Drosophila melanogaster: one gene and its partners. The protein of the gene in region 2 purifies or fractionates together with the protein of the main gene of each other region. This does not show direct contact. Each region holds a gene or a part of one and is shown on either strand. Other genes may lie near its edges.

Region 1 (3,605 bases), on a different chromosome or scaffold from region 2:
ATACCTTCATTCGGCAGAAACTTGAGTGACCACCAGCGAAGTGAAAAGAATAGTCTTATTGTATTTAGCATCAAAGATAAAGATTTATTCGGCATGTCGAGCCAGTATATAGCAGAGAGCTATATATCTTTCGCAGATCTGGAAGCGACACCACCGGGCGAGCAAATAATGATGAATCTATCCAGACCAGAGTATACAGGTACCTAATCATACTTTTGGCAGATTAAAACTGGAAACTTATACATGTTATGTGCTTTCAGATTCCGAATCACTGCGTGCCTTGGAATACAGACTAGGTGATAAGCAGGCCAAGGATTTCCTTAAAAAGCTGAAGAACCGATCCTTCTCCTAAATTGTGAAAAGTTATACGTTGTAAAGAAAAGCAATAAAACTGTATTTTTATATTTTCTACGGCAATCGTACTAAAATTTACAAAGTTGCGTTTTGAAATGGGCCCCATTTATGGACTGAAACTTATGAAGAAAAGATTTGCATTGTCTGACAGTTTTAATTACATTTATTGGAACAAAAACCAACGCGGTAATTAGTTACAAATACATAACACTCACTTTTTACGATTAAAGAGTAATTTTCCAGAGTTTCTTTGTAATAAATAATATATAAATGGTATTTGTGTTAAATTATATTATTCGTAAAGGGCTTGATACGTGCATATCAGCATGGTCTAATGGCAAAAACTACTATGGCACAAGTTTTTGCCGATGTGCCTTATTGGCGACGACGTGTGTTGCGTTGCTTATCAAATCGCATTTCCATTTCCTCGAGAACCTTTGGTGTGTAGCGTACCACCAGCTTTACAGATCCGACAGCTTGCTTTAATAGCTCTACGGCCTTCTCGTGGTTTTCTCCTTCGACAGACTGAAATATTGATATTTTGCAAGTTCTTAAGGAGTTAAGGTACATAACTGAATTAATGACTTACCACACCATTCACAGACAAAAGTTGATCTCCCCTTTTCAGACCACCATGCCTGTCAGCCACGCCTCCAGGTATTATTCGGGATATATAGATGGGCGAGTTTTGCTCCTTGCCCCCCATTACATTGAAACCCAAGCCTGAAAAACAAAAATTAAAGATTGATAAAGCTTTCCATATAAGATGTATAATAGAAACATATATTCTCGGTCTATAGACCTTTACAATCAAGGTATTGGTTTTATGATATAGGGGAATCCCCTCGATTCTTAGCTCATAGGGGCGTGTCTTACCCTCCTCCGTTTTCGGGAGCTCGACGACTCTGGGATGAGCGTGCCCCTCGCTGGCTGCGAAGGCTGCCACAGTGGCCTTGGCAGTGGCGGATGCCCTCACGTCGTGGGAGCCCTGGATGTCCACCGTCTCGTAGACGTGCTCGTACACCTCCCGCACGGAGGTCATGAAGTCCGAGTTGAGCACCTTCTGCAGGGCGGCCAGTTTTGTCGTGGGGAAGTCGCCACTCGCTTGCAGCTTTTCCAAGAGCTCTATCGATCTTTTGACATCTGAAAGTTAGAGCATTGGGTGTGAGTTTCCTCCAACTGGGAATGGTTAGCATGCACCCTTACCTCTGGACAAAGTCAGTGGTTCTGCGTTATCGGCCATATTGCTGTTCAATTTAATAATAATCAGTCAAATTGAGCTGACCTGAAATATTATTCGAGCAGCTGAAAATAATATGACCATACGTCTCAGGGGCACAAAATACCATTCCGTGAAATTATATTCTCTATTTGAAATAATTTGGTTTAATAAAATAGTAACAAAAGTTATATTTTTTATATTTAACAATATATCATATACTTATAATCTAATCTCAGTACTTTTCGTTTAAAAAATTATCTTTTGAAACAAACAAGTTTCTTGAAAGTGTGGTATTTTATGCACGTACATCCATGGTCATATTATTTTATATTGATATTATTTCCGCACCGTATTTATTTAAACTAACAATAGAATAATAGCAAAATGAGCCTGCCAGCTGCACTATTGCAGCGCCTGAAGAAGCGCGGACTTGTGACCAAACAGTCGGGTAAATACAAAGACCAGTATAGAATCCAAAAAGAGGATAACCAACTTCAGCTTTCCACAGGAGCAGCACCGATTTCAGAAGCTATAGAAGAGATTATAGCCGAGAACTACGATGACGATGACAAGAGCGGCCCTTACCCGTACAAGGAGGACACATCGCCGGAGCCCAAGCGCAGGAGCGTCGAGGAGAAGTTCTGGTCGCACCGCATCAAGGAGCGGATCGGCGTGAACGAGTCCTACCATGGCTACAAGCTGTGTCCCAACAAATACAACATATACCACAAGTGCTCGCTGTACTGCGTAAACAAGTTCAACAGCTCGCCGCTTTCGCAGCCCAGCCATAGGTATCTCAAGCGCTACAAGAGATTGCTGCGGAAGTATCCACTGGAGGCGGGCTGGAAGGATGTCTACGATAAGGGCTGCAAGGCGTTTTACTTCTATAACTCGACCACACAGACTGTTTCGTGGCTACCTCCTTCGCATCCCAAAGCACGGATCACCAACAGCGCCGCAGTGTTTCGCAGACAACTGGCCAACTCCAACGATGAGTTCAACTTCGATACCAACATGGTTCAGCCCAAGTCTTCTAACCAAAATGAACCCGACGAGCCCGACGTATTCGTTCCCGCCAAGAAGCAAAAGTCCAGGGACCTGGAACGAAAAATCCAACGACGTCGCCGTAATGATAACTAGCACTACTAACTAGCCATTTGACTTATGAGCTGTAGATCGCTACTGTTCAAATAAAAATGAATAACTATGATAGATATTAAGGTTTAAAAATGTACACTCTGCTTTATTGAATTGCTAGCTTAAGACAATGAATGGTGGAGCCGCGAACAGATTTAAATCGAAGGAACCGGAAATTTTACGAAAGCAGCAACTCGATAAAATTGTGTCGCACGAGTCGGGAAGTATGTGAAAGTTGAATTTGAGGCGGCGATTAAAGCCCTCAACATGAGGATGCGGTGGACACACTTTCACCAAACTATGTGCTATGTGTAAAGTGTTTTAACCAAGTTATATATATTGGTGAAAGATCAATACAATTATTTTTTTTTTGGGTTTATTTCAAGGTTCGTTTTCCCTTAACAACAACCGGTCGGTTTCGTATGTAGCCCTTGCGACGCTTAGAGTTCTGCAAAGAATCAGATTGTTAATGAAGTTCATTGGGAGCTGCAGGGTACACTACCTTTCTCGAAATGAAGTTTGCTGGAGGAATCGTTCTCTCCTTGGTCTTCAGTGATGGTCTATTGAACTCATGCGGCTTCTTCACCCTATAGATGCGAACAAGCCAGTGTTCTGTGGTGTAGGCCTCCTCCAGGTAGGTCAGATCGAAGTCCTTATTCCCAATGACGGCGTTACGTGTGCGATCATATCCAGATGGACCTCTGAAACAGGCAGTTAGTGTGCATCGCTACCTGAGAGAAATGTTTCCGCTTACCTGTAGTCCAACTTCAATTCCCCGAATCTGTAGTAGCTTAATTTGTACATAAGGCAGTTGAGCAGGGCCGGAGCACCTTCGGCATCTACCCTGAATTCACCGCGGTCGGTAAAGTAATCGCTTTCCTTAATGTCCTTG
Region 2 (8,831 bases):
CATTCATCGACGGCAAAGGATGCGTGTAGCTGGGGAAGATCTGCTGACCGGGCAGCAACTGCTGCTGGTGCTGTTGCTGCTGGGCTTGGTGCTGTTCCTGGCGCGCTAGGAATCTGGAGGCCCGCTGCAGACGTTCCACCTCCGATTCGGACTCCGACTTGGGTATAATATCCATGGGGTCAATGGCCTGGGTCATCGATTCCGGCGTCCGTTCCGAGTAAGCCTGCCCCAGGCGCAGTTTGTGGGAACTATCCGTGCGTTCCGGCACCGAGTTGTTGCCCTGCTGGTCCAGTGGCGAGTCCACCGCCTCAGAACTCATACGTAGGGCCGGAGAGGTGGGCTGGGAGTCAGGCACATATTCATGGGCGTGGTGCGAGGCGCTTTCGTTTGACCGCTGCGGCAGAGGCACGTGGTGCTGGTGCTGATGAGGGTGGTGCTTCAGGACCGCCATCGAGCATGAGGGCTCGTAGGAGAGCATCTCCTTGGCGTGGCCATCGTCCAGAGCTGCAAGAGGGAGCATTTTACAATTTGGGTTTTATTACAGATGGCAATCGCAGAGACTTACAAGCGAAGCGCACGCATCGTCTACATAAACACAACTGATCTACAAACAAGACTTGACTGTGAAACTCCGGAACTCCGCGAAATCGCGACTTTTGGTGGCCCGCAGTCACTCGAACGCTTAAACGCTAATTGAAACGCGACTTAGCCGTAACTTAAACGCTATTTACCTTGACTGATCTCTATAACGAAGTTGGTGAGGTCGTGCCTCTGGGCCAGATAGTGCAGCAGCAGTTCGTCCGGGATGTTGAAGCCGATCTTCTTGTTCCGGAACTCGAAGTTGTAGATCCCGAAGGCGGCGCGCACTGTGGAGCGGGATTTGTTAGACATATTTCATTTTTGGCGACCAAATCGCTTGGGGGCTCCGTGATTTGAGCCACCTCCCCCTCTCCGACCAGACCAGTGCTTACCCACGTTCTTTAGGTCCCATATGTTTAGGTCGCGGTTCTCCTGCGGCACCCCGATCATCAGCAGCTTCTTCGTGTCGCGAAACTGAAACGGAATTATGATTCCCGATCGCAGCACCATTTTCAAAGCGCCCACACACGCGATTTATAAAAATTTTCACAAATTTCTCAAGTCCGCTTTGTGCTTGTCCTCCGTAATTGTTTTGGTCTCCGTTTATTGTCGTTCGTAAACAGCGAACTAGTTTCGAGCTCCCCGAAGTCTGGCCACACATCTGCAGTTCCGCGAATCGGAGCGGAATACGCGGCTTATAAGATTTCCTCGAAAAATATTATTTTCTCCCTTAATTTAACGCTTTATCTAAATTACGAAATCTATGCATGTGCAAATTCAATTTTTTTTTAATATATAATCTTAAATGCCAAGCAAGAACTAGTTCCAAAGACGGCTGAACAAAAATAAAAACTCTCGCCTGGTCACACAGTAAAGCTGATTTCATAGGGGGAAAAGCAAAGCAATAGGATTTCGAGTAATCCCGTCCATATGTATTGGAGTTATCCACCTACTGAGCATGCATAGGTTCTTCCAGGTTGTTTCCAGCACTTGATCCGATACAAGAGTTAGCTGCCCGCCTTCACAATGCTCGAGAACTGTCAGCGTCACCACATGCTCCTTGGACTAGGAGCCCTAACGATGGTCACCATACTCGTCCTGTTCGTGGAATCTCGTTACGCGGCAGATGGTCCTCGTCGCCGAGAGCCGCAATTCGTGATCGAGGACAACTCGACCTGCTGGCGGAATGAGAAGTACACGATGGTGCAGGAGTGCCACCCGTGCTCCGAATTCGATATAGTCAGCCGGAGCTTGGGCGTCTGCATTCACACGCACTACAAGGAGGTGCTGCGCTGCCAGAGCGGCGAGATCGTAACCAGGAGCTGCGACCGGGTGGCGCTCATCGAGCAAATGAACTTCTTGAAATTTGAGGTCTCGTGCTTTGTAATCGGATTACTTAGCTACCTGGTCAGTTATGCCCGCGATCGAGTCCTGTCCAGGCGCAACTACATGAGAATCGAGCGACAGCTAAACCGGGTCCAATAGCCCTCCGCCAAATCATCGATTCCCTTCCCCAAGTGATACTCATTGACCGTACGGAAGGTACATTATTTAATTTAGTTTAAGTACATACACTCTGGAAATACCATGTTAAAATTCATTTGCTAATACTAGGGGGTTTAATATATTGCATACTTGTGGAATGCTTGTTTTCAGGGGACAAACACAATTCGGCGTTAATAATATGCATAACATTTTGCTTCGGTAATAACAATCGCTCCTGTACTTCTGGCATCGTTTCTGACATCGTTTCAGATTCTACTGCCTGTTGTTCATATTCGTAGAAAATATCGATTAACTAATCCATTAGTTAGCAACCGCGTTTGATTTGATTTAAAACAGGCTTAAAGATTCAAATGCCTGGAATGTGTGAAATTCTTCGTTATCGTAACACCCTAGTTCCGCCAGTCGGGAATCAGGTCGGGCTCAGCTCCCATGGAGGCACTAGGCGGCATGGCGGGCGGAGCAACTGTGGGCAAGGCTGGAGGCGATGGCTGGGCGTCCAAGGTCTCTTCGCTGGTGGTGCTCGCATTGCTGCAAGCCTTCAGTGAGTTGTCCGTCATGGGCAGTGGTTTGGCCACACCAATGCGCACCACTCCTTTCGAAGCACCCTTCAAAGCCTGCACTGCCTGATCCAGCGAGGCGTTCTCCAGGTTAATGGAGTTCACAAACAAAAGTCGATCTCCGGGTATAAGGCGTCCGTCCAATTGAGCCACCCCTCCAGGGACCAGAGAACGGATTACAATCAGCGTATCGTTGGGATCCAACGGATCTTGATAATCCAGAATAGAGAAGCCCAGACCGCGATCGCCCTTGACCAGCTCGATAATTTGCGGTTGGGACGACCACATAGCCAATCCGGTTAGTGGCTCCAGGGAGCGCGACTTCAGCTTACTAAACGAAGCAGCGGCGGCAGCCACTGAATCTCCATCGGCCACGGAGCCCGCGGTGGCCAGACTACCATCTGATTTGGCCTTCACCAGACGATCGGTAGCAGGCAGCAGGTTCTCAAAGTTGTTGCTTAGCTTTTTCAGGGTGTCATCAGAGAATGGGAGAAGCGAGCTGTTCCTGTTGCGACCGCAAACCATGCGCACATCCAACGGCAGTTCCTTAAGTATAGCCACCACCTCCAGGTGGTTCATACCCAGCAACCGCTCGCCGTTTACCTCCAGCAATTCATCGCCAGAGCGGAGTACTCCATTCACGCCAACGGGTCCATCAGGTAAGATTGAACGAATATAGTGATGGGGTCGTACCTCGCGCCCTCCTTCTACGTCCACGGTTCCCTCCAAGGAAATCCCCAAGCCTCCGACCGCGAACTTCTTGATCTGGGCCACAATCACCTCCACATCGGAGCCCACAATCTTCTGCCATTTGCGAATAATTTCGGTTTCGGCGTCGTCGGACAGTTCCGGATCGGTGTAGTACTTGTGACGGGTGATCACCCCGCTGTTCTTGGCCTAAAACATGTTAATGCGCTATACGTTTTGCTGCTGTGTTACCCGTTAGCTAATACTCACCTCCGTTTTATCCGCCAAGGGTACAACTTCCGTGGGTATGATCTTCGTGGAGCCGTCTAGGGAGTCCCTTACTGCTACTAGTTGCTTACCCGCTCCAAAGGAGCTTAATGTGGTGGTGGTCATTGTGGTGACCGACGGCGGAGTGGTCATGAATGCTTCTGGCGCTGGTAAGGCTTCCTCTTCCAACTCGCGAGTGATGCTGCGTGATGGTGTAGTTGTGGCGGAGGACGTTGTGGCCACGGGCGTGGGCATGGGAGCCCTTGAAGGCGTTCCAGGTGCACTGGATGGAAGCTTGTCATTCGCAGCGATAGCCTGCTGCAGCTGCTCGAATTTGGGGCCCCTCAGGTAGCGTTCCAAGCGCAGGTTCACCACCTGACCAGACTTCTTAAGCAGCTCTACGGCCTGGTGGTTGGAGTAGCCTTGTAGCGACTGGCCGTCAACTTCAATGATGCGATCGTTGACCCGGATGCGACCACTCAGGTCCGCTGCTGAACCGGGCGACACGCTCTTTACGAAAATGCCAGACAGCTCTTCTTTCTCACACACATAGCCGGCAATTGTGATGCCCAGGCCGTTGGCATCCTTCTTCAGCTCCACCTGAAGCTTCTCCGTTTCAGGAAGGGCAAGCAATTCCTCTAGGTCGATGTTTGGATCAATAAGCATTGATGTCTCGCCGCGATAAACGAAACGATCGTCTTCCGTGGTGGTCTGCGGAGTGGAGGCCGTGGAGCTCTCGCCAAAGATTTCCGGATAGCCGGTAGATATGAGGTACCGCTCCAGCTCGGCAGGATCGACGAGGACGCGCGTGGGCACCACAGCAGTGCCCGGTTCCAGGGCGTACTGGGGCGTAGGCACGCTCTGCTCAACGGGACGGGCAACCACTAGGCGGACGTGGGTTCCAGACTGTCTCAGCACGGCAGCCACCTGTTCGGATACCATTTCGTGCAGGTTGACGTCTCCAATCTGGAGGATGTGGTCGCCCGAGCGCAAGCGTCCGTCCTTATCGGCCACGCCACCCGGCAGGATGGTTTTTACAATCACTCCCGAGTTGCGAGCTCCAATAATACCGAATCCGAGACCCGTGCCGTCGTTGACCAGCTCTATGGCCTGGATCTGAGCGTAGTCCGTGGCGTAGAGATCCGCCACTCCGGCTCCTTTGGAGTTCTGGCTCTGCGGGCGCGGCTCCTCGCCGACGCCTCCGGACTTATCTGGACTGCCCGGAGCCGAATGGGAGTGCGAGGAAGAGCGCTGTTCGTCAAAGTCGTACATCACCTCGCCACCATTCAGACTGAGTACAAGGTTGCCGGCCACATCGATGTCGAAGTCGTTGGGCAACATGGACGGATGCTGAGCCAGCTGGGCGTTCAGCTCGGACAACGAGTCCTGCACGTGGACGATGGTGCGGAAAACGGGATCCTGCAGAATGCCCAGAATGGTGCTAAGGCTCTCGGCCGTCTGCATTTGCAGCTTGGGGTCGTCGGACTCATCGATGCCCTTCTTCACTGCCTCGATCTGCTGAAGGGCGCTGGAAATATCCGCGCTGAGGTGCATCTTGCGTCAGTGGGCGTGGTCAGCGAGCGGTGCGCGGTGCGGTCAGTGGAGCGTGGTCCCCGTCTCTATCCCACTTCCGCTGGCGTTTCTATGGACTTCTGGGTGGGGGCGTTGTGGCGTTGGCACACTTTGTCCTAAACTGCAAAACGGGTAATTCGATTTGGGCTCTAAGTGGGACAGCTTCGGATCAGTTACTGTGCCGTTTGGATGCAGCGAGTTGTTTACCCTCTCCTATGCACTCTTTTCGGTGGCCACTTGCTCTGCTGCTGCTGCTGTAATTGATTTTTAATTATCTCTGAAATGGAATGCCAAATGCATTTTCTTTTCACAAACAGCTGATGGACAGGGTTGCCGAGCGGCTGCGTTGTGCATCGATAAGCAATCGACATAATCGGAACAGTTGCCACCTTTTCAAAATCAATTCAAATTCGACCGTTACATCTGCTAATTTAATTAAATCTAAGATTTTTGAATATAGTCTGCATGTGCTCGTATGTAATATGGCTATACGAAATAACCCAACAACATCTATCCTTTTAAACGCAAATTTTGAATTTAATTTCTCTGTACGCACAAATATCTGTGTTCCAAATACGGAAAAACAATAAGGTGTCTGCCATCAAACCATGTTACGTTCCTCCTCCTCCTCCAATTCTATTTCGAGCTTGCGGAATTCGCGGAAGAATTCGCGAGTGATATGCTTCATATGTGGAGTCAAGTACTTGGGAAAGATATCTGCAGAAGAAACAGAGAAACTATCAGAAACTATTGAAACCTCCAACAGAAAAGGAAAACCCACAATCAAATTCTATAATGAGATCCCCGAACTGCTCCACCTTCTTGTTGGCCTCCTTGATGGCCGTAACTGCATCCAAATTGCGGCACTTGGGGAGTCCCTCGAGGGGAACCACTTTGGTGTATCCCGGCTGCACTACGTCCGTAATGACCACCTTCAACTGGCGCCGGTCCAGCGTGCAAATGAAGAACGTGAAGCCGGTGAAGGCCTGGCACAGGCCAATAGACTGCCTGTAGACCAGGTCGTGTTGGTTTCTCCTCTCAAAGTCCGGATGCGGCTTGTCGGCGGCAATGAAAATAATATCACCCGGAATGGTGGCCGGATAGCGATCGCCCTCCTCCTTGAAGCAGAAGCGAGTTCCGGCCGTAGTTCCCGGGGCAATGTTCAGCTTTAAGGTGTGCTTGCGCTTCTCCAGCCGCGACTCCTTGGCGTCCACGATCTCCTGGCGCCACACGTTCATCAGCTTGACGCAGCCAGTGCGTACTTCCTCCAGCGACAGCTCGATGATCCTCTCCGTACTGGCGTCCTTGGAACGCACGCCAATGCCATGCTGGCGCGTAGCGTACAAGCTCGGTGGATTGGAGATCGCATCGATCACGTTGGCATACGGCGAGTAGCTACCGAAGACCCGCTCGTAGACCTTCATGTGGTCGCCGTCGTACTGATAGGGCGGAAAGTATCCGTTCGGCAGCATGACGCCCTCGAACAAACCCGCCTCGCCAAAGCGATCGTATATGGCCCGGTACAGATCGTTGCCCAGCACATCGAAGGCCATGTTGACGTAGGCCCACTGCCTGGGCTCGCCCATGGGTGAGAGGTGCGTGAGACGACCCTCCTGGGCCAGCGGCACAAAGTCCTGCTCGTCCTTCTTGTCGCGATGTGGGCAAAGCCGAATGGCCAGGCGGCGGTAGGCCAGAGTAATCTGCTCCTTGGTGGCGCCTCTGGGCTGATCCAGCACCGCGTAGTAGTCCAGCTCCGGCCGGTTCATTGTTTCTATTCGGAGTCGAAGCGTATAACAACTGGCAGAAGTGTTCACAGAATGTTTGACGTGTGACTGAGAATTTATTCAAATTATATACAATAACTCAACTGACGCAGGATCTGGCTATGGATGAAATATGCTTGTGGACAAATACATTAAGATTAGAGCTATGGTGTAGATGGAAACGTGGCGGCGATCAGTCAACGTCCTCGGTGCTGACGCCAGTGTAGATGGGCTCCTCCTTGGCTGCACTCTCTGATTTGGCATCGTCGGTCTTCTCCTCGCCACCGGCGACGTCATCCGAGTCATCTTCCTCCTTCTTGTCACCCTCCAAGTCAGCGGCATTGGGCACCCAGAGACCAGAGTCCACACAACGCTTCATGTGCAGCTTGGCGACGTCCACGGGCATGGCCGCAATGGTCTTCTGCAGCAGCTCTACGTCGCGGGACTCGAAACAGGCCTTTAGTTCCTGCGGAGCAAATACATGAAAAGTTAGTCAAGTAATTCCCATACAGTGAATCACTAGAACGTACATCGGGCAGGGATTCAAAGACATCGGCTGGGTCCAGACCACCAGGTCCGAGGCGCTCCTTGCGCTCCTCCTCTTCGGCCTGGGCTATCGCCTCCTGGATCTTCTCCTGCGCACGCTTCTGGATACGTCCTTTGAAACCTTCGATCTCGCTGTCGAACTGCGCGCGGTACTCGGGATGACAGTGCTGGATCTTTGAGAAGAAGGAGCTGACACAGGCGCGAGGATCCACGTCCAGCTGTTTGGCCAACTCTAGAATGTACTGCATGCAAATGCACTGATGCGCCACGTGGGCCATCAGCTCGTGCTTCTCCTCCATTTCCAGGTTGATGGACCAAATGACTAGGTAGTTGGCCGTCTCCTCGCCCACCAAGTGAAGATGCTCCTGCAGAAACCGCTTCGAATCGTCGTACTTGCGCAGCATGCCATACTGCTGGCAGAGCTTCTCGTTCTCCTTGACGAATTGCTTCATGCGCTGCTCTCGCTCTTCCTCGGACAGATTCTCATCCGGCTTGCGGCCGGCCTTCTTGTTGATTACGGTCTTCTCAAAGCCGGGCTTGCTGATGGTGTCCACGTTCCAGGGTGTTTTCTTTTCCTTCTTAATCATCTCGCTCTCGATGCGGTCCAGCTCTTTGCCCTCGGCCTCGATCTTTTCGAGCTCTTTCTGTAGGCGATACAAATTAGGGATTAAGCATTGCGATGAAAGATGGATGGCCACTTAGGATGATAGTCAATCATAAGCTTGACAATAAGAATAAATTAGATGGATTGAGAACATAGGGAACTCCCAGACCAGGCATTAGCCTAAGCAACAAGTGCGCAGTGCATTCGGTGCAATGACCCACCTTCAGGGCCTCCTCGTCGCCATCCTTCTTTGAGATCCGCTCCTTGACGTCCATGAGGCGCGCCTGGTAGCTCTGGCGCTTTTTCTTAAGCTCGTCCTTCTCGTGGTCCATCTCCGCCATGCGCTCCACGCGCGCCTGGTGCCGCCAGCGGAACAGAGAAGGCGTGTCTATGTTTGGGTGAGTGTCGTCCTCATCATCCGAAATCTAAAAGGTAGTGTGCCGATTAGGAGGACTTTTTGGGTTGGCACCCAGCAGTGGGCTCACCTCGATGTTCTTCCACTTGCTGTAGTCCACCATTTTGCTGTTTCTTTGCTTCGGATTTATATTTGAATGTAAATGCTGCAGGTTTTTGTTCTTTTTCGGCTGCTTCCTTTTTTTGGATTGCTCTGGAAATTAGTGTGACCGCAGGGCTATTGCGGAATAATACCATAATAAGCCCCGCTTACTCTGGGGCCGCGCTAGGAAATAGTAGTCATGCATGAGTGCACCAGATTGAATTGAAATACCCTGTCGTTTTTAATTTATTTAC
Region 3 (4,911 bases), 1.6 Mb from region 2:
ATCGTTTTTAATAGTTCATAAGAAGGCAGTAAGCTAACTTTATTCCTATTCCCCGACAAACCGTTTGCTTTAATAGACTCGTTCCGAGTTATTCTGGTACATTAATGTTTAGTAGGGAGCTACGCCTTTTGGTTCTCCTAATGGCGACTGGAAATTCCAAGAGTCGTGCTCCGCTAAACGCTTCAATGAGTCCCCAAGGGATCCTCCATCGAATGCTCGCTTGTGCGTAAATCTTTCGCTCGGGCTTCTTTCAAGCCTAAACACCAATTAAAATGCACTCAATACCCGTGTCACACACAAAAGACAAGCCCGAAAAACAAATGAAATACGAAATGGAATGAAATGAAATGGTGAAAAGTAAAACCGAAAACTTTCACTGCTTCGCCGCTTAAGAAACAAAGTGAATTAGTTGGACAGTGGGACAATTTGATGCGTTTTAATTGCTTCTAATTAGATTAGACCAGAGGCACCTGACTAGCCAGAAGATTCGAAACTATGTCGCACGCTAAGCTCCCACTTTGCTCAATTAAAATCAAATGCGCACGAGAGGTGCAAAGAAAGTACACATGTATAGTATGAGCGCGGCAGTGGAAAATGTGCCAAGCGCAACAAAGTGAAGTGAAGTCAAGGAAAAAATGCATTAGAAAGTATGCAAATATTTCAGATATTGCCAAGAAAACGCGGTGCCCAGGCTAGGTAATTAAATATATACTTTTTCGCCATGTCTTGACGTCGCCTCACACTTCCCGCTTCCCCGAGATCCGAAATCCCGACTCCAACAGCCAGATCCGTGCACCTCATATGGCAAACAAAGCACGCAATGGCCACGCGCAGCTGCGCAGGCGCGACTTGCACTTTCTACAAATGCGTAGAGAGCTTTACACTCTCCAGTCTTCAGTCTTCGGTCTTTGGTCTTCCAGCAACTGCAACGCCTTCACTCCCTTCACTCGCCGCCATTTATGTGGCATATCTCACCTTGGTGTGCAAGAATGCCAGACTCTTGTTGACATTTTCGATTTTATGGACGCGCATGCGTCCGCTGTTCGGCTTGCCCAGTTTCTCCGACGATATGATCTCCAGCAGCTTCAGCAGCTTGATGCCATCGGCCAGGTCTGTGAATAGGTCTTCGACCTCCATTTTGGCCTACAAAGAAGACGATAAGCCCAAATGTGAGTTGCATTCATAAATTGGTGGGGCCATAAAAGTTTCTTCCAATCAAAATTTCAAGTGAATGTATAATTTCGAATGTCATATACATATGGCGCTTTCATTTGAATACATCACTTTGATCGAGAAATTATAGTATTTAAACAATGAAAACTTTATGTGCTTAGCAAAACAAAGCATTTCTTTCATTTGTACTTTATAGTAATTAAATTACAAGTATTGGGAGTGATGAGTGACTCAAGTAGTTTACACACCTTGATCAGAAACGAGTTCATCCATTTTGTGAATGTCTTCTTCTGGATGTGCAAGCGCTCCTCCTGCAGCGTTTTGATCCGCTCGTTCTCGAACTTGATGATGCCGTCCCGCTGGGTCATGTTGGCGGAGTTGCGATTGGAAGGCGTCGGTGTCTGCAGCGCGGAGTAGCCTCCCGGCTCATATTGTGATGCTAAGTGGGGGGAAGGGAGGAGGAACAAAAATCTCGGATTAGTTCGAAGTCATATAAATGCAACGCGAAACGTTTAGGCTTAGTGTTTGTTTTGATTTTTTTTCATTTTTTTTGTATTTTTTTCCAGGAAAGAGAAATGGGCAAACCACCTGACAACAGACCAAAATCAATAATGGGCATAGGGAAAATAGAGGAAAAATACGAAAGGTATGTGGCAGAGATAGGGAAAGCACGACCGTGACGTACGAACCTATTGATTTAGAGATAACGAGTTATCGCCAACATAATTGCCTCTATAAAAAAATCCCTGGCTAAAGTTAGAACCACATTCCAAGGCAGTTTATTTGTAGTCTTTCGATTATGTCAAACGTAATTCCTAATTTTAAATCATTCCATCAGTGGGTTCCCATAATGTCAAAGATTACCAACGGGTATTTCAAACGAAGAACCAACAATCACTTTTTATTCGAACGCCTCATCACGTACTTTTGTTTTCTAGACCCGTTAAGATAAGCCATGTGTCGATTGGCGTTTCACATTTAGATCTTAGCTGAACAAAATTGTGAACACCTTTTTGAGTAAGCTTGATAGTGAATTTTAAAATATAGTGAAAGATTTTTAAGATGTAGAAATTAGCAATCTGTTGCTTTATTTCAAGTAACTTTACCTCATGAAAGAGTAAGGTATCTTTAAATTTCTTTTGCTAACAAGTGTAAGATAATTTCAACTCTACCAACTATAAACAAACCAAGCTGTGACCAACTTTCCAACCCAGTAGATATACCCCCAGCTAGCGTATCGAAATCAAAACAGTCGCTGCCCAGCGATAGTGGTTCTGCGAGCTTATCTGTCGACTGCCAAAATTACTTCATACCTATGGAAAATGCTTCACGACTTTGTTACTTTTTTTTTATCAACGGTTCGTTTTACGTAATACTGGACAAGAGAATATGTTAAAAAGTGAACAAAATTGGAGCGGAAACTGCAGAAAGCGAAACCATTTTTCTAGGCCGTTGACTCATTTGCCAAATATTTGCGCTCTTATCAACCAAATATGAAGTTCCACCCAACTGAGATAGATAAGAGCAGGTTACTTTCGTTTCGGGATTGTATAATGATCGCGAGCTTCCAGGGGAAAAGTTCAAGTTCAGAAACCTACCCAACGATTGGCGTTCGTAGGATATATATCGGCGATACTCGTTGCGCGAGAAATTCGAGCGCAGAACACTATTGTACTCCATGGCCTTTGATCAGTGATTTCTAGGGTGTTTCTCAAGATATCCGGGCTTTCAGCACCGAGTGCCGTTCCTTAAAGCTAATCTTTCGTTTTTTATTTCTATTTTGTATTTCGACACTAAGTTTCGTTCCTACGGTCAGATGTTCGCAGAGCCCGCGCCGTTTGGTCACTAAAAACAATGTGTGCCCAACATTTTGCACGCCCCAAAAATGTAGAGTGGGGGAAAGCTTCCTCCCCCTCTTGGCTCTGTTTATCAGATGAATTAAAAGCCAAATGCCAAGAGTGGCAACAAAAATGCTTCAACTGGCCTATGGTGAATTCCCTTTATCGCACGAGCTGATAGCAGTATGAGAAAACGGTTAAGGTATCTGAAAATCCTTGCCTTGACAAACAGCCAATAGACCCTGTCGGCTTATCTTATCGGTCCATAAATCCCGCATACCTCGGACATATGTTTTTCGGAATAAATACATATATATAGAGGGGAATGCACTTCCAATATCAAGTTATTTATGGCGCCCTATCAGATTCCGCAGACTAATGAATGGGCCATTTAGAATAGCTGCCAAATTCGATCATTCCCAATGACATCATGCCAAAGAGTTATAATCTGCTGTCTACTCGGGTCGGGTGTCATAACTCCGCTAATAGATCATTTACTATACATATGTGCCGCCAATGGCGTTGAGGTCACCTGGAAGGCATTCGCGGCTAATTGGCAAACAGAACACTTCGCTTTCGCAAATAGAAAAATCAATTAAAAAGAGGTGAAAACTAAACAATAAAAAACCAACAACACCAGTGTGACAATAAACTTTACCATACCGCGATAACGTTCGACGCTTATCATTATCGAGTGGCAAACAAAACCTAGAAAATGCAGAGTGCGGCATAACTTTAGGCTTAGCAGGAAAAGCAATTAAAACTGTGCCTCCTTGATCCCCAAAATAGAACGCATCCCCCAACTCACATACAGCTGTCTTTGGCCATAAACTATTTATACAACTAAAGTCGCCGGAAAAGGACGGCAGAGGCAAAGTCAGGGGCAAATGCGAACCGAGGCTCGAATTCCGGGCATCCTGTTTACTTCAATTGTGATACAACATGGTAGCACAGCACATGCGCGGCAGCTGGGAGCAGGAACACTCGGATTCCGCGCCTCTTTCTATTTATAAACCACCACACTTCACTCATCGCAAACACTTTGAAAACGATTTTTATAGATTTTCAACTTCTTCGGTGTTCTCTAGATCTTGTGTGTTCCACATACACGGTTAGCTAATGAACAAGGCGTGCAACAACCTCGGAGTTGTGTAAGAATTTGCATAAATCAATAAACATTTAGCATTTTGTATGCTTAATTTTTATGGCCCATACGCTAAGTCACACATATCATTTAGCAAATCCCGAATTAAATGATACTTTAAAGTATATCAAAAAGAAGTTAGGCATCTTTTTTTGGCAACCTTTTTCTACTCAGATAACATCCGAGGTAGTTACCGATTTTAATTACTTTTGCGTGAGTGATGGCATATGTCTGATAAAAGCGTAGTTTTTCAGCCATCTCCGCTTTGAACCGAAAATAATGAGACCTATAGCTCGGCAAATTAGGGAATTGGTGGTCTTTGTTGTCAAAAATTTCTACGCATAAAATTACCTCATCAGTGGCTGGAAATTAAAATTCAGTTTTGGCCTCAGTCGAAAAGAAGAATACAGATTGACACAACACAACAAGTAGAAACCCACAGTGATATAAATTCTTTTGTTTGTGCCTGGCATGCTAAACAATTTTTTAAAATCAACGAGAGAAAATAACAAACAATTTCAAAGAGAAAACAGCTAAGCTGGAGACGAAAGAGCCACAGACTTGGATTTAATTTAAACAATAGATCTAAACTGGAAATGATCTATAGAGTTACGTTTTTATTCTGCTAAAGTTGAACAGAGACTTATGATACTCTTAACTTAATATGAGATAGATAGATGAACAGAAATATATCTATCTTCACTCTTTTCTCATCAATAAATTCAAATATTACCCCAACTCCATTAAAAGCCAAAT

What was found. Proteins that work in one complex are often made in the same cells at the same time.
Region 1: the proteins of Patj (region 2) and veli purify together in Drosophila melanogaster (affinity purification with western blotting; one study listed by BioGRID). This does not show direct contact.
Region 3: the proteins of Patj (region 2) and kst purify together in Drosophila melanogaster (affinity purification with western blotting, with the first as the bait; one study listed by BioGRID). This does not show direct contact.

What each region holds. Positions count from the first base shown.
Region 1 is NT_033777.3:25,063,918-25,067,522, forward strand, and holds veli (veli), read right to left. Parts: upstream 1,675-3,605; 5' UTR 1,598-1,674; coding exon 1,561-1,597; intron 1,498-1,560; coding exon 944-1,497; intron 880-943; coding exon 730-879; 3' UTR 501-729; downstream 1-500. Other genes in the region: stac (staccato), read left to right, coding at 18-199, 261-352; PQBP1 (Poly-glutamine tract binding protein 1), read left to right, coding at 1,961-2,024, 2,085-2,716; Stt3B (catalytic subunit 3B of the oligosaccharyltransferase complex), read right to left, coding at 3,090-3,161, 3,216-3,414, 3,468-3,605.
Region 2 is NT_037436.4:1,795,468-1,804,298, reverse strand, and holds Patj (patj), read right to left. Parts: upstream 5,497-8,831; 5' UTR 5,376-5,496; exon of another isoform or gene 5,346-5,375; intron 5,318-5,345; exon of another isoform or gene 5,290-5,317; 5' UTR 5,151-5,289; coding exon 3,600-5,150; intron 3,540-3,599; coding exon 2,475-3,539; 3' UTR 2,115-2,474; downstream 1-2,114. Other genes in the region: CG42676 (uncharacterized protein), read right to left, coding at 732-866, 972-1,089; JTBR, read left to right, coding at 1,606-2,064; CG12020 (uncharacterized protein), read right to left, coding at 5,770-5,885, 5,950-6,934; Cdc37 (cell division cycle 37), read right to left, coding at 7,125-7,397, 7,462-8,121, 8,303-8,506, 8,567-8,599. UniProt on the Drosophila melanogaster protein: Involved in cell polarity establishment. Probably participates in the assembly, positioning and maintenance of adherens junctions via its interaction with the SAC complex.
Region 3 is NT_037436.4:3,348,197-3,353,107, reverse strand, and holds the start of kst (karst), read right to left. Parts: upstream 3,001-4,911; 5' UTR 2,854-3,000; coding exon 2,772-2,853; intron 1,613-2,771; coding exon 1,422-1,612; intron 1,144-1,421; coding exon 976-1,143; intron 1-975.